3 linked regions of the Astyanax mexicanus genome follow. The protein of the gene in region 1 purifies or fractionates together with the protein of each later gene. This does not show direct contact. Links are inferred from orthologs where the notes say so. Each region holds a gene or a part of one and is shown on either strand. Other genes may lie near its edges. The genes, in order: clcn4, tmem9 and tmem9b.

Region 1 (7,159 bases):
GATTGGGGTGCATAACAGTAGATTTAAATAACTAAAATATATAAAATGTTTTAATCTACACAAATTGTAGCCTTAACCAGCTTTTCTACCTCATTGTATCCAGTCATCAACTCGGCCCATTTCTGCCACTGGGGGCATTTGTCTCTGTCGGCGAAGGTGGTCTCGTTGGAGGTCCAGCAGCACTGCTCGTGGCTGTACCAAAACGCAGACAGACACACTCCCTCTTTAAGGTCAGTCATCCAGTCCACAGCCAGGTCTATTACTCCAGCCAGAGTGCCTGAATTAGAAAAGATATAGAGGCATAAAAATGTATACAGTCTCATTATTGCTTTTAGAATTAGTAGAACACTTACATATTGTACTGTAACTAATATGGCCTGCAATTACCATGTGACTACCTGCAGTGCAATGGTGGTTTTATTATTATTGCATTTTTACTGTATTCTATATTCTTTTACTCTTTATTCTTAATTGTTCCATCCTGATTATCTGTCCAGTTACCTGGTCCACCTGACAAGCTTATTAACAAGCTTTTAAAACTTTTCAGAGTAGCAGTATGTGCATTAAAGCATGAAGCAGTGCTGTTTTCCTCATTATAAGCTGTTAATCAAGGTAAAAATGCTACAAATGCAACTTAAAAATAACTCCATCCTGTACATTAAGGGGCACTTTTCAGCTTTTTTGGACTGTGCAACTCTGTTCTCACTACAAATTAAGGACATTTGTATTTGATACAAAAGTAGGTCCTTATGAAAAAGTACAATTGTTCCGCATTCTTCTAAAAAACTGGGGTTCACTTCAAGTAAGCTCTGGTGTGGTCCAAGCTTTTGCTAAGTTTGCGGGAGTGCAAAAGCTACTTTTGAGCCTGGGTGCCATCCATGGTTCTTGTGAAAACAGTGGTCTGGGGTTCACAAACCACGAGAGAAGGAAATACGATTGCACTGAGCTTATCTTGGAAAATGTGATAAGTATTTCCTGGTTAATAAACAAGAAATGTTTGTTGGTTTTTGCAGACCACAGATTCAGTAGCTGCACTTTATCACCATGTGACAGCCTTCAATCTATACTATATAACTATAATAAAGATATAAACCTTCTGGCAATTGTCATCTATTACTGTTGAAAAAGAACAAAAGGATTTGGTGAAACCATGTGTACCTATAAACAACAGCAATAAATCCAACAGTACAATCCAACTATTGTTTGGGTAAAAAACCCCTATGTGATTTTTTTTAAGTCACGTGTAACAATGCACAGAGATCAGTTAAGTAGAAAATGAACTGAATCCAGCATGTGGAGAGCAGTTACTGGTCTGAAACCTGTTTGCAAAGCATTTGGCAGAAAAGACCATCACCAGCTTCCACTAACTTTCCATACCTGACAGGAGCCCAATGAGCAGCATCACCACCCATCCTGACCAGGCATCCAGCAGACTCTTCACAAACTCCCAAATAGACTCCTTACTCCTGTGTGTAATCTACAGAAAACATTACAATTACGTTAAACCACAGCATGTCAAGATCAAGTCCCAACACATGGACCTTCATTAAGCTGAAGGGAGCCATTATGACCTAAAACATGACTGACAACTGGGAGATACATTGTTTATACACATTTTACCTTCCTGTGGCGGTCAGTATCTCTGGACTTCTCTCTGAGCCAGTCGATGGTGTGGAAATCTTCATATGTTCCCACATCAGGGATAGGCTCATCTAGGAAGTCCATCAGGTTCCCAGCGCCGTTCATCTCCTCGGTGGGAGTGGCGCTGCTAACCCCTAAGAGACAGCCACAAAATTATCTAACCATAATCATTTTATCAGAAGCCGTAATACTTATGTCATTAAGATAAGAAACCAAAATAGTAAGATTTAATTTCAATTAATTAGTCAATTTAAAAAGTTTTCACGCTATATATATATATATATATATATATATATATATATATATATATATATATATATATATATATATTAATAGGCTATGTATTAATTAATGATATTTAATTGTATGCATTATATATATATATATATATATATATATATATATATATGTGTGTGTGTGTGTGTGTGTATATATATATATATATATATATATATATATATTTATTTATTTAATTAATTGTATGCAGTGTGTATACAGCCCTATATTTGTGTATCTAGCCCTATAAAAGTGTGTCTATACTGCTCTATATGATTGTATACAGCATGACATATGTGTATATAGCCATATATGACTGTATGCAGCCCTATTTGAGTGTGTATATAGCCCTATATAAGTGTAAACAGCCCTATAAAAACTGTATATATAGCCCTATATGTGTGTATATAGCCCTAAATGAGTGTATTTAGCCCTATATGAGTGTATAATGTTCTATATGAGCGTATAAAGCCCTATATGAGGGTATAATGCACTAATCCATCTATTCCTAAAGACGAGAGCAGGTGCTTAGAGGAACTAAAGAGCAAAATAAAAGTTCCACCACCAAAGATGAAAATCACGCCAGACTAGTTAAACTAGAAACTCTGTAAGCTACATTTACTGTCATTTTTATACACATATCTAGCTAAGGACAGGTTTATTCATAATACGGTGCGAAAATTTAAAAATATAAAATAAACACCAGCAGCTCCACGGCCTGTCAGAGAGGACAGACACCCGGCTGGCACTGAAAACAAACCCACACGAAAATAAAACAACCCTCTCTAGGACAACAACATGACTGGAATATCTGAAATAAGGATTTAAACTCAGTAAACTGAACAGCTGAACGGAGTGAGAGTGTGAGACAGGTGAACTAGCGCTAGCTAAGCTAAGCTATATTTGGGTAACATCCATAGCGGCTGCTTACCTTCTGCCTCCGCCATTTAGCCTCTTATATTATAGCTTTATATCCAGAGACACACAAACGGCTGCTGCCTGTTACATAGCGGCACTTAAACGCTCAGAGGTTTTGTGGAATTCATAGCTATTATAATAGATATTATATTTATTAGTGTAGTAATAATAATGACAGCGCGCGCAGTATATAAAAGACCCTGCGCGCTCCCAGCATGCAGCTCTGCGCTCCACTCACACACAGCAGCCCGGGCAGGGTGCGCTACTGACGGTCAACACCGAGGAAAATCTACGCATAAAACAAAGAAACACCAAAAACAGTTTAAAACACTGGAGCTGAACCCACATATTTTTTCTAATAGTAATATTACTATTTAAACTTATTTTTAAATATATATTTAAAATATTAGGTCGAAACTATTCTCACTCATTTTTTTAGACTTTTATTTTGTATTTTGTATTTTATATTTTGTATCCACTTTTACATAAGGTGCCACTATAACAGCTTCAAAAAAGATACAATTTTATTTTGTATTCACTTTTACATAAGGTGCCACTATAACAGCTTCAAAAATGATAAAAGTTTATTTTGTATTCACTTTTGCATAATGTACCACTATAACAGCTTCAAAAATAATAAAATTACGTTTTATATCATTGTTTTTTTATATATTGTTTTTTTTTCTTATCTCACAGCTCCCTGATAAAAAAGAACATTGAATAAACGTTGTTGTTTTGATTTAAGATTAATGACAACCTTTAAACAATCTTTTTAAATTATTCAACACTAGGCATCGGTTAATAAAAATCCTGACATTGTACCAACATTAATTTAATGGTTTTTAAAGGGGCACTAAACCATTTATTTTAGCTGACTTCACCCTCAACTTAAATTTGAAAAAGGCTAAAAAATGAGAGGGGTAGTTTGGGAGCGGCACTGGGTGGTGTATGGGTTTAGAGGCAGGGCAGGAGGAAGAGCTAATTGGCTGAGCTGCAGCAGCAGCAGTGTGCCTTTGATAGTGTTGAGACAAAGATGGTTGGGCGTCAGCAGGGGGGTGTTACTATTGATTGACTGATCTGCATATTGTCATATTGTGTCTGCGTGCCAAATTACATGGAAACATCACCCTCGTCTATAGCACAGTTGAACTTACCTTCAGATTGTATAAGTATTCATTATAATACTATTATAATATAAAACAAGAAATTATTTCAACACACTGTGACCGTAAAAAGATCAAGAACAGTTTTTTATTCTTCTGAAAACCAAACAATTTACACTTTTTGGAATCAAATCACACACAGGTGGTAATATGATATTTATTATTTTTGTGTCTTGTATAAAATAATTTTAAATATATCACTATTTAAGAAATATTGTCAAGCCCTACTTTAGATTGTAGTTTAGAGAGTTTTTTTTATTATTTCATATATACAGTGTCTGTGCCAGGATTAGCTCATACACTACTGTGGCCTGTTCTAACCCTGTATGAACTTTGAAGGCTGTTATTACTATGAGAGCGGCTCTAAGGAGGGCTTTAGGCCTTCTCTATCATGGTCATTACAGATCACACCCTCGTCATCATCAGCCTGAAAGCTCTTATCATTGTGATTTTGTAAATTATAAACAGATTTTTTATTAGTGCTATGGGCTAATAAAATTCATGTCTTGCTATCTTTATGCTTATTTTAGATAATGTTTCACAACAGTTCAGAGTCAGAGTGAGTGAGAGGTCACAGTGAGTGAGAGGCAGAAAGAGAGTTAAGAGTTAAACTGCATGTGTTTGATATGTGTTTTCCCTTTGAGCCTTTCGTGTTTAGCCTCCTACCAGCAGACGTCACAGCCTGCGCAGTCCCGTGTCTCAGGCTGGCCTGCAAGAAAAGCCTTTTGTTTGTTTCTGTTAGCTCTCAGCATTTTTAAAACGCCTGTCGTAAGAAACTTGAGAACATGGGGAGTAGACAGATGTGATTTCACACTTGCAGTCACTGCAGACATGTTACACTCAGCATTTTTTTTAAAAACTACACAGTGAAACATTTGAACTGAGCCTGTTGTGCCCAACAGTGTCGGCATGTCTGCTTTACCAGAGTTTACAGAGTAAATCTTAATGCTGATAATGAAACCTGTGGTCTAGAAAACTCTCCGTGCTGTTCTCCCACAAGATAAAATCTGTCACAACCTTCACAAACACTTTCTGTTTCTTTGAGGTGAACAGTTTTCCATTGCAATTGCACATTTTTTACCCCTAGTGTTGTGGTTTATTGAGGTATATAGATGAAATGGGCAAAGAAAAGTCATTAGAGCTTCCTTTACCATATAGAAAAAAATTCAACAGAAACCAACAGGTGATTCTTTGAATCTAGTGACCTTAAATTTCCTGCAACATTATCTTTTGAGAAAATAACAAATAATAGTAAATGCCATTTTTTTTGCCTAAATTACATGTATTATTGCCAGATAGAGATTGCCAGGCTCAACAGTTTAACTTCTAAAATGTTTAATTAATTTCATTAAATAGATCCAAACTGTATTAAAATGTGGATTGTCAACCCTGTCACTTTGATTTAATCCCTGTTATTTGATACTTTTCTCTTAACATTTTGATTATAAGAATAAATAAGTTAAAGGTAAGTGTTTATTGGGCGGAATGTATAATTTACGATACAGTCCTAAAATATTAAAAATAAATCTTAATGTTAATGCATCATTTTTGATAAAATATGACAATGACAAAAAAGATCCCATCAACTGCTTGACAGTTGCTGTGATCATTTCTGAGATAGGAAAATTATTTTTCAAAGGCTTAACTAACCAACTATCAGATGAAATGATCAAAAATATATATATTAAATTATTTTTTAAATAAAAAAATATGATCCAAAACTCCACACGACCTCTGAAGGTGCACTGTGATTTATAGAACCAAGATATCATCAGTAACGGTGGCTGAAATACACAGGTCACACATATTAAAAAAGTTCAAATACTTCAGGTTGGGCTTCCCAAATGGGCCTTATCATTACAGCCGGCCTTAATCTCATATGAGTCCCATCTACACCCCATATGCAGTGTAAAAGCCAGATGAGACTATGGGCGTATTAAATCCCTCTTGTTCCCTTACTGTCCCTGATGGAGTTTGTAACTGTAGCTGTAACCATTAAAAGAAGATAACTCTTTCTTTATATATATATATATATATATATATATATATATATATATATATGTTACTCCTGTAACATTATTAAGAAACTCCATGCTGTAATTTTCCTTTATGTATGAACAGAAGGAGTAGCAGCAGTGTGACCAGGCTTTGTAAAGTAGCTTTTGTGTAGCCCACTCTCAAATATATATACTGATTGCTAGCTAATAACTAACTACACACCACGCAGTCTCTAGGCCCGGAGCTTCCTAATTCCCAACAACCATATGTAGTGCGAACATAAGACTACCATAGGCTACTTTTGGGTAGTGTATCTCTTGGTGAGACTTACATGTCTCTATAATGCTCTCAAATGCATTTTGACTTTGACTTTGCTCATTATTGAACTAAGAGAAGCAGAGAGAAGTCATTTAGATGAATTGCCTGCCATCCAGGCCATCCATCAACCATGGATGGTGTCATGAGCAAGTTGTGGACTGGAACAGCTTGACCTTTAACAAAGAACCCAGGTTTGGTTTGGTATCCAATAACAGTCTGTTTCGAGTACAGAGGACTCATGATATGTGCTTTATATGTGCCTTTGCTGTGGGGAAACACACAAAGCAAAAAAGAAAAAAAGTATATAAGAACTGTTTATATTAGTTATATTTTTATTATATTATATTTTGTTTTACATGATATGGACCCTCAAGAATACCATGAGCACTCCCTATAACTTCAGTAAAACTCTGTAGGCTAAGCTAGCAGATATTGTACGAGCAAATGTATGGGCTTTTCCCTATTGATTTATTTATTTAATATTATCACTAGTGATGCCACAACACAAAGAGGGTGAAGACACATGTGAAGTCAGCCACCGCCTCAAACTGTTGCTGATGCAGCATTGCAGAGTAGCATCACAGCGCACTTGGAGGAAAGTGCAGCGACTCGAATCTGATACACCAGCTCACAGACGCCTTGTGCTGATCGACAGCACCCTTTGGAGTGATGAGGGGAAAGAGTGCCATCTACCCACCCAGAGAGAGCAAGGCCAATGGTGCTCGCTTGCTGATGGCAAGCTGCATGACCGGTATTTGAACCAGTGAGCTCCACCGCTTTAGCCTGCTGGAATGCCCATAATGTATGGCCTTTTGTCATTTCAAAAAGATAATGTCAGTATACAT
Region 2 (7,647 bases), on another chromosome or scaffold:
CATGGGTTAAATTTGACAGCATAATATCCATTTAATATCAATATTTGGTTATAAAGTGTGCTACAGTGCTAATACAGGCGTGAGGGCATGTACCTCAGCATCCTCTTCATTCTGCAGTGGCTGCAGGTACGGATCGTGTCTGCGGATCAGCGGATCCACCAGCAGCAAAAACAGCATGTACAGCAGAAGAGAGCCGACCACAGACAGGTAGATGATTATGGTGACCTGGGAAAGACAGTGAAGAATACACGTTCACACCTGGCTTTAACACACGTCCTGGGTGATCCAATCAGATCATGAATTACGAATGATAAAAGCACACAGCTGTTCACACCTGGTTTTAGTTAGAAAGTAACCAGTAACAGATTAATGGAACATACATACCTTGATGGTGTTGCTGCTGCGTTCCTCATACTTGCACTCACAGAGCAGACAGTAAGCCTCCACATCATGACCAGGAACAGGCATGGGCTCCACTACATGCAGGCAATTACTATAAAAACACACAAAACATGTAATTAAAATGACTTATAGACATACATACATCCGGTACCAGTCAAACGTTTGGACACAAATCTATTCATTCAATGTGTTTTTTTTTTTCTTTTTATGATTTTTTACATTGAAAATTTAATATTGAAGACTATATTAAAGCTACACAGAAACAGATGCAAAAATATTTAGGAAACAAAAAGTGGTAAAGAAACCAGAATATGTTTTATTTAGTACTTAAGATTATTCTAAGAAGCACATTTATCTTTGAGGACAGATCTGCACACTGTAGAGAAGTACTGCCAATAGAATAGAACTCTCTGGAGCAGATAAACCCAAACTAGATTGCACTATTCTTAATGCGATGTACGGGCTAAAGTGGTCAGTGGAGGAACAGTGTTCCCTGCAATAATGGAGCTCCATCCATTACTTTTGGGATGAGTTGGGAATAAGATAGGGTGGTGATCATCCAATAATGCTCTTTTCCTTGAACGCAACCAAATATGTTTCCCTGTACAGTAGAGACAGTTACTTATACAAAAGCAGGATAGACTTTTTGGAGCAGGATTACTACCCTTGATTTTGCATCCCAATACTTTTGTCCATGTGCACATATTCTACAGTACATATTTTAATGGCTAAAGGTATGCAGAAATACAATTATTCAGGGCTCAATGGTGTTAATATTGTGCTCATCTAATTTTGCTGCAGTAACAGTCTGTATTAATCTGAGAAAGCTTCTGTGAGAATTTGATAGCATACAGCCACACTGAAATAAAATGGGTGCACATTAGTCCCCTGTGGATGCTGAACGAAATGAAACTCACCAGTCCTTTTGGGTAGCATTCCTGTTATAGATATTGCCACTGATGTTACGGTAGGGAGGACAGATGCACTTGCAACGAACATCTTCAAAGTTCTAAGACAAGAAAAGAACAGTGGTGAACAATACCATATTTAGATCCGAAATATGAATGTCAAAATCCAATAATAAGAGTGATATTAATGGCACAAGTGTTATGATACATCAGCTGTTAAACTGTAACAGGAGAGAATTGAAGAAATCGATATAGAACCATAAACTTACTCTACTGGCAAGTGCATTGGACACAGTTTCAAAGAAAACCAAAGCCAGCAAACCCAGTGCTGAAGCACCGAGTCCTCGAATACTGCATAACATTGTGGTCCCTTCTGCAATAAAAAACACAAATTATGCAGCTTTTCAAGCGATTTCACAGTCACTGACCAAATTTTCCATGTTAGAATTCAAATCTGGGAGTTGTGCATGCTGTGTGTTGCGACAGAACATGATAAGAAACAATCTCGATCAATAGGAATCTAGTTGAAGTTAGTTGATTAGTGACCCTGTAAAATGATCAGTCTTTAAACAGTAATGACAAATTCATTAGTATTCACATGTGAGGAAGTATATATATACACAGCTCTGGAAACAACTAAGAGACCACTTAGTTAATTAATTAGTTATGATGTTTTTTCCTAATTTCTTGACTAAATTGAAAACCTCTACAATATACACAAGAGGAAGATGAATGATCACAAGCCATCAAACCAAACTGAATTGCTTGAATTTTTGCACCAGGTGTGGCATAAAGTTATCCAAAAGCAGTGTGTAAGACTGGTGGAGGAGAACATGCCAGGATGCATGAAAACTGTGATTAAAAACCAGGGTTATTCCACCAAATATTGATTTCAGAACTCTTAAAACTTTATGAATATGAACTTGTTTTCTTTGCATTATTTGAGGTCTGAAAGCTCTGCATCTTTTTTTTTGTTATTTCAGCCATTTCTAATTTTCTGCAAATAAATGCTGTAAATGAGTATTTTATTTGGAATTTGGGAGAAATGTTGTCTGTAGTTTATAGAATAAAACAACAATGTTCATTTTACTCAAACATAAACCTATAAATAGCAAAATCAGTTGAACTGATTCAGAAAGTAAAGTGGTCTGTTATTTTTTTTACAGAGCTGTAGTAGCTACATACTACACAGATATACAGTACACTGGTGAACAGTGAGGCTTTTAAATAAACAGTGTAAAGTTCATGTGTAGTAATGAAGCTTTATGCTATGAAATTCCGGGGCTAAAATGCTTATAAAAACAAATTAAAATGTTTTATTAGTTAAATTTCTCCCATGACGCCTAGTTACTTCTGCAGTTCAGTCTCTGTGGTTAGCCGTTAGCTTAGCTGCCATAGCCAACGCTAAACAGCTACAGATAGCTTAGCTCATTTACATTTACATTTACATTTTCGGTATTTAGCAGACGCCCTTATCCAGAGCGACTTACAACAGTGCTTCAAAGTTACTTAAAGATACCCAAAGCTAGTTTGTAGACTAGGATCAAGAGATACAAGAGATACATCAAGAGATACATAGAACTTAATCATCTCCTTACGCAGAATATATTATTCACTACCCTCTCCACCCTCACTGTAAACACACTCTATACATACATTTAATACAGAAAATTTCCAGATATTAAACACTGCTTACCTTTAGACCTGCTAACAACTTGTAACCATACCCGAAACAGAGCAACCGACTCTGCAACTGTAACCGCTGTTACACACTTCAAAATAAGAGTCCTAATATTTAAACTGCGCAGGTTTATTTCTAAATTTAATTTAGATATCTTAATTTTTTAATTGTTTTCACCTAGAGGAAGGTAACTCAGGTCCAGAAAGTAAAAATCCGAATAAAAATAAGCTCTTTTTAGTATCTGCTCAAGTTCTGCTCAAAATTGTTGTGTACAAATTAAGCTTTGTATGAAATAAAATGTAATATATATATATATATATATATTTTACATTAAATTGTTAGCTATAAATATGTAATGCAATAATTTAATGTAACAAAAATAAAAATAATTATATTTTTCAATTTTTTGCATACGAAGCTTAATTTGTACATTAAGCACGGATTAAACTGACTTTTCATATTTTTACCAACACATCTTACGTCATGCACGTAAGAGTTGGAAAGCCTTGTTCCTATTGGTTCATTTAGCTGTCAATCACACAGCTCCGTGTCCAATCGGCGTGCGGTATTTTAATATTCCATTTTGGCGGTAGTAGGAAGATGGCGGAAGATTTGAAAGGTAAGAAATCGCTGGGGTTAAACTCTTTAAACTCGTGTTTCTCGTGCTGTAGGTTTAGTAGCGGAGACCAGCGGCGGTTGGAGGAGTTGTGTTTGTGTAGTTTAGTGAGTATAAGGCGTTGTTTGTGTGGGTGGGGTTGTTTATAGTGCAGTAATCGCTGTAGTTTAACGGGCTGTTCGCTGGTTAGTTTAAAGCAGTGTGTTGTTGTGGGGGAGCAGCAGCAGCGGCGGAGTTAGCGCCAAACCGAGGAGATTATCAGAGGATCGGAGTAATACCGGGCCCGGGACTGAGTTTAATACAGTCTGAGAGTAACGTTAATAATCACAGCGGGAAATCATGATTTAACTCTGTATAACTGTGGGTTAAACTGGTGCCAGCTGATTTGTTTTACTAGATTAACTGTAAATTATTTGGGTTTTCTCAGTAACCGCTCCACGCTGTGCTCCTCTCTCCGCTGCCGGTTAGCCCGCTGGCCTGTGTGTAGTATTGTGTGGTAGCTAATGGTTTGAGGAGTGTCTGTCTGTTTAAAGTACTTAAAATATTACAAAATCCAGCAGTTTTAGCCTAAAATCATATCAGCTATAAACTACATGTGTCTTTCTAGTAGCTTAATAATACCAGCAGCACACATCCTTAGCGGTACAATCCTAAACAGTGACTACACAGCCTTTTGAATTGAGATTTCCCATTAAAAAAAATAAAATAAAAATAAATATATATATATATATATATACAGCCCGCTTATTATTATTATTATTATTATTATTATTATTATTATTATTATTATTATTTATTATTTATTTATTTATTTTTTATTTTTTTCTCCATTTCAGAAACTGGCCCTTAAAGTAATTTTAATTAAATTAATTCAGTGTTTTTCTTTTGTTTAATTATTAAATGTATTTTCTACATTGTAGATTCATATAATATAATTACACAGTAGTGATAGCGATATGGCCCTAAAATATCACACTATTTTATGGTATGTTCGCAGTAGGGTTGTCACGATACCAAAATTTTGACTTCGATACCGATACCAACTGTAGTATCACGATTCTCGATACCAAAACGATACTTGGAAGAAAAAAAACAATAAAAATATCTGAACATAAACTGTTTATTTTTGACAGAACTGGATTGAACACTGAACAATCGGTGCAAACGTTTTTATTCTAAAATGAAACATTTGAACAAAAAACAAGTTTCGTTATTATAACCTTAACTATAACATAATTAATAAGCCCATGTTCAGTGTAACGAGCAAGCAGGCTACGTGCCTGACCACAGATTTGCGATGGAAACGCGAAAACGTGAACATCTTGAGTTCATGTTTCACAGCCAATGGGATAATGGAGAAATAGAGAAAACCACGGGTCCAAAACAAAACTCCTGCACACTCCTCTCCATGTTAACGTGATTTACTAGCAGTCGCTAGAAAATCTTAGTAAAGCTACAGACAGAGTGTATCTTGACTAACTCCACTAACCTGTCGACTTCTCAGCTCTTTGTAGAGATCAGGGTGCTTGTCTGCTAAATGAATGAGCGAAATATGATCAGAATTATGTTAAATAACACTGTAACATAGAAGCATAGAACTATTATTTAATTAAAATGATTTTTAAGAACAGCTAAACACAGTGCTGCAGGTCAAACGCGGAGGCGTTCACGTGCGAGAGAGAGAGAGACACAGAGAGAGACACAGCGAGAGTGAGAGAGAGAGAGATTTGCGTGTTCTGATGTGAGCTACTCACAGGTAAAGGTTCTCTTTGATCTCCTCGTGCGCATATTCTAGTCCCACACATAAGTCTGCAGCTCCCTCAGTGTTTTCTGTCGTATTTTGCGGCTAGCGCGAGCGCTTACAACTAACACCGCGGACCGCGAGGGGCCGCCGCGCTTGTGCCGAATTCGCTACTGAATCCGACTCCCGCTTCGCGGACAGAATCGGCACAACACCCCCCGCTGTACAACTGCGGGAGTGAAAACAGCGCTAATAAATAAAGTAGTTTAGTTTCACTTTCAGTTTTCGTTATTTTATTTAAAAATAAAAATAAATTAAAAACAGATGCCTACATCTCAGACTATTTTCCCACACTTCACTCCTCGCGCCCGTTTTGTCTACAAGTCGCGGACGAGAGACATCTGTTATTTTAGCCGTCGCCATTCTACACTCGCCGCTGCTCTCTCTCGCTGCTGCTCTGCTGGCTTGCGCGTGCGTGTGTCGCTCTCAACCGAGTCAAATGAATCGATTCACACGTGAATCGATTCATTTGTTCAGAACACTAAGTTTATCTGAATCCTGCCACACCGACTGCTGCGGTGTGAATCAGTTTTCTTATGAACTGAATCAAATCGCGCCTACTAATTTGACTCATTTGAAGCTAGTGACTGGGCTATATACAGTATCGAAAGCATCGAACGCTAAAGAACCGAATCGTTTGTGATGACGTAGTATCGAAAAAGAATCGAACCTTCGGTACACCGTGCAACTCTAGTTCGCAGTAATAATGCTTTTGGCGATATGACAAAACACTGAATAAAAAAATATATATATATTTCAAGTATACACTACTACAACAAAATAAAAATTAAATGTTTTTATTGCATATGATAATAACATGTGCATGTGATAAGGAACACCCCTAACTGAGACATAAACAAATACAAGGATTTTATCAGATTTGTAACAAAAGTCAATAATCCAGAATGTCATGATACTAATAATAGTGCACTCCATATATATCCATATATCCGGGATTAGAAAAAGTAAAATAAATGATACTGGACAAATATAATCTGTCTGTGGGAAATGAGAACAGTGTGAATTTTTTCATTTGCTAAAAACAGCAAAAAAGTAGTATCCTGATGTAGGGGTGGACGATATGGCTCTAAAATAATATCAAGATATTTCATGGTATTTTCATAACAATACTTTTGGCGATATGACAAAACACTGAATTCAAAAAAATATTTTGAATTGTATTATTGCATGCAATATGATATGGCTAACTGAGATATTAAAAAATAATTTTATCAGATTTGTAACAGAAGTCAATGATCCAGAAGGTCATGATACTCAAAGTCAAAGTCAAAGTGTTTTTTATTGTCATTTCAGCTATATACAGAGTACACAGTGAAACGAAACAACGTTCCTCCAGGGACCATGGTGCACATAAACACAGTGTAGACAGAACAATAGTGCAACAGTACAAAAGTGCAGACAGACAATACAACACAATACAGACAAAGAATAATAAATAACAAGACAGTGTGCAAATTATGCAGTGTGCAAAAAGTGTGCAAAAAAGACCAGTGAGGTAGTAATTACCTCTATTACACAGTGTGCAATAGAGTCCAGTGAGGTAGTAGGGTTTTTAGTGCTTTCCATTTTCTGGGGTAAGTGGGGTAAGAGTGTGTGTGCATGTACAGAAAAACCATCAGTTCAGTCTCTGCAGTTGAGGAGTCTGATGGCTTGGGGGTAGAAGCTGTTGCAGAATCTGGTCGTGCTGGACCGGATGCTGCGGTACCTTCTTCCCGAAGGCAGGAGGGAGAACAGTTCGTGTGAGGGATGAGTGGGGTCATTCACAATGCTGGTTGCTTTGCGGATGCTGCGGGTGGTGTAAATGTCCGTGATGGAGGGGAGAGAGACGCCGATGATCCTCTCAGCTGTCCTTACAATACGCTGGAGGGTCTTGCGGTCAGAGACGGTGCAGGTCCCAAACCAGGCAGTGATGCAGCTGCTCAGGATGCTCTCAATGGTCCCTCTATAGAAGAGTGTGAGGATGGGTGGAGGGAGACGGGCCTTTCTCAGCTTCCGGAGGAAGTAGAGACGCTGCTGGGCTTTCTTGGCTGTAGAGCTGGTGTTCAGGGTCCAGGTGAGGTTATCTGCTAAGTGGACACCAAGGAACTTGGTGCTCTTAACAATCTCCACAGAGGACCCGTCGATGTTGAGTGGAGAGTGGGTGTGTTGTGCTCTCCTGAAGTCAACAACCATTTCCTTTGTCTTGTCCACATTCAGGTGAAGGTTGTTGACTGTACAC
Region 3 (7,449 bases), about 11 Mb from region 1:
CAACACACTGTTAACACTTCACAAGAATGCACACTTCCTTTTCCAGCTCAGCAATTTCAGTGCAGCACTGGTTGTTAAGTAACTTTAACGGTTGCAATGTTTGCAATGCTTGTGTTGAATCTCTGATAGAAATGCTGTTCTAGTCTGGTCTTAAAGGAGAACTCTGGTGTAAAATGTACTTTTGTTGTAGTAAAACATGATAAAAAGTTCTTATCTTTGATGAATAGCACACCTCCGCTCTCCCACAGCGTTCAGAGATCCAGAAATTTTAACAGTTTATCCAACAAACACCCTTCAGACTGGGAGATACGGGGCATAATTTACCCTGATAAATCACTTTTTACACCGTTATCCAGCTCAAAGTAGCTCCACACCTCCTTACTAGAATCTGGAGAGCCCTGATATTTAAAACGAGGCATTAATAACTTAGAAAGTGCACAAAAAGAAGCTTATTAAAATCCACTGTTTACATCCCGTAACACTACTAGCTGCCGCCGCCATCACTGTACTGATAATGACATAGACATATATATACATAGACTCTGCATTGCATCTATAGAATCTATGTATATATATGTCTGTCATTATCAGTACAGTGATTGCGGCGCTCAGAGCTGAAGCTAGTAGCATTATGGGATGTAAACAGTGGTTTTTAATAAGCTTCTTCTTCTGCACTTTTTAAGTTATTAATGCCTCGTTTTAAATATCAGGGCTCTCCAGATTCTAGTAAGGAGGTGTGGAGCTACTTTGAGCTGGATAACGGTGTAAAAAGTGATTTATCAGGGTAAATTATGCCCCGTATCTCCCAGTCTGAAGGGTGTTTTTGGATAAGCTGTTAAAATTTCTGGATCTCTGAACGCTGTGGGAGAACGGAGGTGTGCTATTCATCAAAGATAAGAACTTTTTACCATGTTTTACTACAACAAAATCCATTTACACTATTTTACACAGGAGTTCTCCTTTAAAGGAACAAAATGTACTTTATTACAGCAAGCATGTAAAATAGATAACGGAGTCCAATTTCAAAGCTTTCTGCTTGAACAGAACCTACAGGGAAGAAAAAGCAAGTTCAAGAACGCTTTAAAGGGCTTTCAACACTGTACTCTGATAATAATTCGATCAGCTAATGTATATGTTTGTATAAGGTTGCGATGTATGCATTATTCTTGCAGCATTATAAACCAGCAGATATGGAGTTTATATAACTTTTAGCTTTTTAAACTGTTAGCTAGCTGCACCGTTATCTTAAAAAAAGACAATTGAGGAGAAAATGAGCAGCTCAGCATCCGTCTTGTAGTCCTTCTGGGATCCAAGCGATCTCCATCTACTGGTGTTTTAAACTATCTCTGCTCATGTAGAAGAAAGATTTTTAAGAAGATGCTGAGGCTACAGTACACCAAAGTTTACCTACGCTAGTGTGTTCCATACCTGGCAACCTGATAGAGGTAGTGGGCGTGGTTTAAGACTAAAACAGAGACAAACAGGTTTACACTCCATATTGAACAATTAATGGAAGAACCTCCTAGCTAAAGCTCTGCTGTCTGTGTGATGCAGGGGCTTAAAGTTAGCATTAGCTCTTTTACTGCTACTAAAAATTAGGTCAACAAAATTGATCAACTGATCACTGATCAGTTTCTGGGAATTTAACGGTATGTTTTGACTACAGGAATCTGAGCTTGGGCTACTTAACGCTACTCATTTATGTTACAGAGTTTAAATTAAAGTCTATATTTTTATGTCTGTACATCTAACATGTAAATAAAAAAACAAATAAACCTGGTATTGTTTCAAATCTATTTAAAAACCGATGGGTGGGAGAGTAGAATGAAGTAACTGTAGTAATAATCTGTGTAATAAATCAGGTTAAACTGTACCTGAACAGCTGTTTAGCTCAAATTAAAGGAGTATATTTGATAGCTGGGTCAGATCGAGACTGCATTACGTTCTCGTGTGGTGGGTGGGTCTTTAAAATGTAGCTCCTCAACCACAGACGCAGCTCCTCCTCTGTTGAAGGTGTGAACGGAAGTTTAACGGAAAATGTGGGTAAATTTTTGTACAAAATTAATTCTATAAAAATCTGTTTATCCATTGTACATGCGTTTTACTGTACGTAGATAAAAAAAATTAGTGACAGGACAGGGACACTTCAGGGGGCCAATCAGGTTTCAGCTTGGGCCAAAATGTCATTGTGGCCCCGTCCTTACGTAAAACTGTATCAAGCTTTATTAAACTCATATATTATGTAGATGTATTACACACAAAGTGATCTATTTTAAATGTTTATTTATTTTATTATTGATTATTATGAAGCTTACAGACAATAAAACCCAAAAGTCAGTGTCTCAGAAAATTAGAATATTATAAAAGACCAATTGGTACTTTTGGCAGTGTGGGCAGTGTGCCAAGTCCTGCTGGAAAATGAAATCCTCATCTCCAAACCATCACTGATTGGTGGAAACTTCACACTAGATCTAGTCTAAAGTAATTTCTTCTTTTATGGAGATGTGGATTTTATTTTCCAGCAGGACTTGGCACACTGCCCATACTGCAGAAAGTACCAATTGGTCTTATATAATATTCTAATTTTCTGAGACACTGATTTTTGGGTTTTATTGGCTGTAAGCTTCATAATCATCAATAATAAAATAAATAAAGGCTTAAAATAGATCACTCTGTGTGTAATACATCTATATAATGTGAGCTCCACATTTTGAACTATTAAAATAACTTTTCAATGATATTCCATACCTGTCAAGTCTCCCGTTTTGGCCGGGAAGCTACCGTATTTTACTCCTCTTTCACGCCGTCCTCCCGTATTATTATTTTCCCGTAAATTTCCCGTATTATATTAAAATAATATATATATATATATATATATATATATATATATATATATATATATATATATATATATATATTATTGAGGAGACAGGGCACTGACCGCTCTGTGTCTCTTAACCAATCGTGGAGCCGGTTCAAGGAGAAAGTCCCGCCTTTCAGGAGAAACAGCCAATCAGCTTGCAAAGGAGGGTCAGTGTGGGGAAGCCCCCCGTCGCGGTGAGTTCAGGCAGCTCGTCGGAGCAGCTGATGATAAAACCTATCTGTATATACAGCGATTTTTCTAAAAGAAATGTAACTGTAGGCTAATGGAAACTATGATGAGATTTTTCTGATAGCTGCTTAAAAATACTCATCTCCGAAATAAAACACACAGATTAAACCTTTTAAAATTATAAAAATAAAGTTTGTGACTCAGTTTAACTAGAAATTTGTAGAGGACCGAAATGAACTGAACTGATCAGGGGTGGAGTGATCAAAAGAAAGAAGTATTAATTAAAGATTATTAATTGTGTAGGCCCATTAGGACTAATTTTTACTGATGGAATATATCTGGTCCTTGTCCTTTTAGTAAAAGCTCATGATACTATTTTTTAGGTCACCTACAGTCATTTTGTAGAATTTGTGCACCCTTTGTTCAATTTTAAATCCATTAAATAAAAAAATATATATATCATATAAAAGAGTGCATTATGCCAAAAAAGCCAAGACATGAAATCTTAACTTTTTTTAAAATATCTAGATAAGGATTTTTAATTTGGCTGCATTAAAAGAATGACATATGTAGGATTGTCCACAACATTTCAGATTCTGATAATCTAATTGTAGTGTGTAAGTGTTTCACATGTGGTTATTTTAGATTTTTTTTAAACCTGTCTTAAAATGTAAGGGATACTGAACCTTCGTTGGGGATGGTGGGACGGCTTTAAGTGGACAGAGGAAAATATCCCTTATTTTTAAATCTAAAACTTGACAGGTATGTGATATTCTATTTTTTTAAGATGCACTAGTATAAAAATAAAAAAGAGAGCACTTCAGTTTCTGAATCAGTTTCTCTGCTTTTGCTATTTACAGGTTTATGTTTGATAAAAATGAACATTGTTGTTTTATTCTATAAACTACAGACAACATTTCTCCCAAATTCCAAATAAATTTATTGTCATTTAGAGCATTTATTTACAGAAAATGAGAAATGTCTGAAATAACAAAAAAGATGCAGAACTTTCAGACCTCAAATAATGCAAAGAAAACAAGTTCATATTCATAAAGTTTTAAGAGTTCAGAAATAATCAATATTTGGTGGAATAATCCTGGTGGTTTTTAATCACAGTTTTCATTCATGCATCTTGGCATCATGATCTCCGCCACCAGTCTTACACACTGCTTTTGAATAACTTTAAGCAGTTCAGTTTGGTGGTTTGTGATCATCCATCTTCCTCTTGATTATATTCCAGAGGTTTTTAATTTGGTAAAATCATTTTTAAGTGCTTTATTATTTTTTTCAGAGCTGTATAGTTCCTGTTTTTTGGTTCCTGTTGTTTGAGGGGGGAGTGTTATTGGTGCTGCACAGGGTGCTGATGATCAGCTGATGTGTTGGTAGTGCAGTACTGATTACACTCGGTTATTAATCTGATCTTTAGCCTTTAGAACCGTCCAGAACCCGCGGCTCCGGTTCTGATCGGCTCCGGTTCTGATCGGTGTGTGTGAGCGGGGTGTGAGCGGAGAGCTGTGCGGTAGAGAGATGCAGGCTGCGGGCGGAGTGCGGCTGCTGGCGCTGGGCTGTGTTCTGGTGCTCTCAGCGCAGCTCGCCGAGAGTAAGGTAAATAATCACATTTAATTATTAATATTAATATTAATAAACATTAATATACACTATCAGTTATTAAATATACCATTCTGTATCAGCGTCTACACCAGGATACCGTTTACATATAAACATCACTAGGCTAGCTACTGTACTTAGCTTCACTAGCTAGCGCGCTAATGCTAACTCTGTAGTTATCAGTGTAGTAACTAACGTTATAGCTATATGACAGCGGACTGTAAACCCAGTTAGCCAGCTAGCTTTAGCTAGATAATAACACTAACTCTGTAGTTATCAGTGGACTTTAAACCTGGTTAGCTTTAGCTTTAGCTAGCTCTGTAGTTAATCAGTGTAGTAACTTAACTAACTTATATAACAGCGGACTGTAAACTGAGTGACCAGCTAGCTTTAGCATTAGCCTTAGCTAAATAATAACTCTATAGTTTACCTGGTTAGCTTTAGCTTTAGCTAACTCTTTAGTTAGTAATGCAGTATATAACCTAGTTAACTGTGGGCTTTAAACATAGTTAGCTTTAGCTTCCTAAATTATTCTCCTTACTCATTTTTCAAGTTTTCCAGAAAAACTTGAAAAATGAGGTTTATAACGCTAACGTCAGCTAGTTAACGTTACACTAAATGTCATTTCGACAATTATCTTAAATAAAAATCGCCTTATTCTTTTATTTTTCACTAAAATTGTTATAGTAAAAAAACAAAAACATATATGACATGTTTTATTATCAGCTTTAGCTAGCTGCAGTTAGCAGTGTAGGCTAGAACTGAGGGCTTTTAACATAGTTAGTCATAGGTTTAGCCCTAGTTTTAGCTTTAGCCCTAGTTTTAACCCTAGCTGTATTGCTGGTTTTGGATTCAGTCCTAGTTTTAGACCTAGCTGAAGACATAGCTTTAGCCCTATCCATAGTTTTAGCTTTATTCCTAGTTTTAGCTTTATCCCTAGTATTAGCTGTATCCCTAGTTTTAGCTTTATCCCTAGCTGTATGCCTAGTTTTAGAGTTATCCCTAATTTTAGCTGTATCCCCAGTTTTTTACCCTAATTTTAGTCCTAGCTGTATTCCTCAGATTTAGCTTTATTCCTAGATTTAGCCCTAGCTGAATCCATAATTTTAGATTTAGCCCTAGCTGTATCGCTAGTTTTGGCTTTAACCCCAGCTGTATCCCTAGTTTTAGCTTCAATCCTAGTTTTGGCGTTAGCCCTAGCTTTATCCTTAGTTTTAGCTTTAGCCCTATCTATATGCCTAGCTTTAGATTTATCGCTTATTTTATCTGTATCCCTAGTTTTAGCGTTAGCCCTAGGTTTAGCCCTATCTGTATCCCTAGCTTTAGCCCTAATTTTATCTGTATCCCTAGTTTTAGCCCTAATTTTGGCCGTAGCTCTAGTTTTAGGTAGATAATAACACTAACATCAGCTAGTTACACTTACTGCCATATTGACACTTTTTTTACTTAATAATCTCCTTAATCTTTTTTTTCAAGGTTGTTCAGAAACTCAAAAAGTATATCAGGGTTTTTAAGGGAATTTAGATTAAGATTAGGCATTGTGCACAAAGGTACCTGGTACCTGAGTCCTATTCTTTTGGCAGTACTGTGATTTAATGTATTAATTAAAAGGATGTCTGCAGTTATTTGGATATGTAGCTGGTTGGGTTGGTTAGCTGATAAAGTGTGGTTATGTTTCTTTATCCGCCAGTAGTGCAGAACTCAGGTTAAAAACAAAACAAGGGGGCTAGGCTCTGCCACGATATTTACATTATCAACTAATTGTACAATAAATTGACATGACCTTAATAATATGCAATAATGGTGATTTTTAACAGTGAACAGTTTTTTGCCCTGCCCTTACCTGTGGCGTCTTGTGATTGATACACAGGGTTTAGATATTTCCCTTGTTAATCTTGTTTTTTTATGTTTCTATGTTGTTTTTTTACTCTGTTTCAGAACTCTGAAGACATACGATGCAAGTGTATCTGCCCACCTTACAAAGAGATCGAAGGACAGATCTACAATCAGAACGTTTCACTGAAGGATTGGTAATCCATTAAACACAATCTGAGAATCTGCTTTTCCACAGGGGATTAAATTTAGCTCTGGGCTGTTCAGAGAGCTGCACAGTGCAGTGAGCCTGACACGATAATTACTTTATTGATTTATTGTACACTATACCCGGCACAACCTTTGTCATTTCCGCTGAACTCAGAATTATTATTAATGTTTATAAACAGCCCAGATAGGGATTGATGGACGGAGGTTTCCGGTTGAGAGTACCGTTTTTTTTTTTTTTGCACTATAAAGTGCATTGTGCGACACTAGTAAGGAACAGGGGTGTCACCATTTTTTCCTACTAATTCAGCAGGTCTTGCCACTGGGTGGCGGATCTGTAAAGCTAAGCTTAGTTAGGTAAACAAAAAATTCCCTTCTAATTCTTAAATACAATAACAAATGCAGTAAATACATTTTTCTCAACTATTTTTTTTTCTGTAATACCTAATATTATATTTTCTTAGGATTAAATTCTCTGTTGTTACTGTTATGATTCCATCCTTTCCATCGTTCATTCCTACATAAATTCGAGTTTTTAAATCGTTAACGTAATTGTTGATTGGTTTATATTTAACATTTATATTCTTGTCCTCAGTAACTGCCTGCATGTTGTGGAGCCGATGCCGGTGGAGGGGAAGGATGTGGAGGCGTACTGTTTGCGCTGTGAATGCAAATACGAGGAGAGAAGTTCTGGAACCATTAAAGTGAGTTTCTGCTTCTAAAAACTAAGATTATACAGCAAGAAGTTC

What was found.
Region 2: the proteins of clcn4 (region 1) and tmem9 purify together in Homo sapiens (co-immunoprecipitation; 3 studies listed by BioGRID and IntAct, with this or other methods). This does not show direct contact. The link is inferred for Astyanax mexicanus from reciprocal best matches to the Homo sapiens genes CLCN4 and TMEM9.
Region 3: the proteins of clcn4 (region 1) and tmem9b purify together in Homo sapiens (co-immunoprecipitation; 3 studies listed by BioGRID and IntAct, with this or other methods). This does not show direct contact. The link is inferred for Astyanax mexicanus from reciprocal best matches to the Homo sapiens genes CLCN4 and TMEM9B.

Annotation. Positions count from the first base shown.
Region 1 is NC_064423.1:30,793,857-30,801,015, reverse strand, and holds the start of clcn4 (H(+)/Cl(-) exchange transporter 4), read right to left. Parts: upstream 3,024-7,159; 5' UTR 2,865-3,023; coding exon 2,849-2,864; intron 1,776-2,848; coding exon 1,621-1,775; intron 1,478-1,620; coding exon 1,378-1,477; intron 278-1,377; coding exon 90-277; intron 1-89. UniProt on the Homo sapiens protein: Strongly outwardly rectifying, electrogenic H(+)/Cl(-)exchanger which mediates the exchange of chloride ions against protons.
Region 2 is NC_064419.1:42,482,529-42,490,175, reverse strand, and holds the start of tmem9 (transmembrane protein 9), read right to left. Parts: upstream 3,102-7,647; 5' UTR 3,007-3,101; intron 1,684-3,006; 5' UTR 1,673-1,683; coding exon 1,580-1,672; intron 1,412-1,579; coding exon 1,320-1,411; intron 494-1,319; coding exon 385-493; intron 226-384; coding exon 94-225; intron 1-93. Other genes in the region: histone-lysine N-methyltransferase SUV39H1b, read left to right, coding at 3,592-3,610. UniProt on the Homo sapiens protein: Transmembrane protein that binds to and facilitates the assembly of lysosomal proton-transporting V-type ATPase (v-ATPase), resulting in enhanced lysosomal acidification and trafficking.
Region 3 is NC_064423.1:41,763,277-41,770,725, reverse strand, and holds the start of tmem9b (transmembrane protein 9B), read left to right. Parts: upstream 1-4,388; 5' UTR 4,389-4,579; coding exon 4,580-4,657; intron 4,658-6,598; coding exon 6,599-6,690; intron 6,691-7,295; coding exon 7,296-7,404; intron 7,405-7,449. UniProt on the Homo sapiens protein: Enhances production of pro-inflammatory cytokines induced by TNF, IL1B, and TLR ligands. Has a role in TNF activation of both the NF-kappaB and MAPK pathways.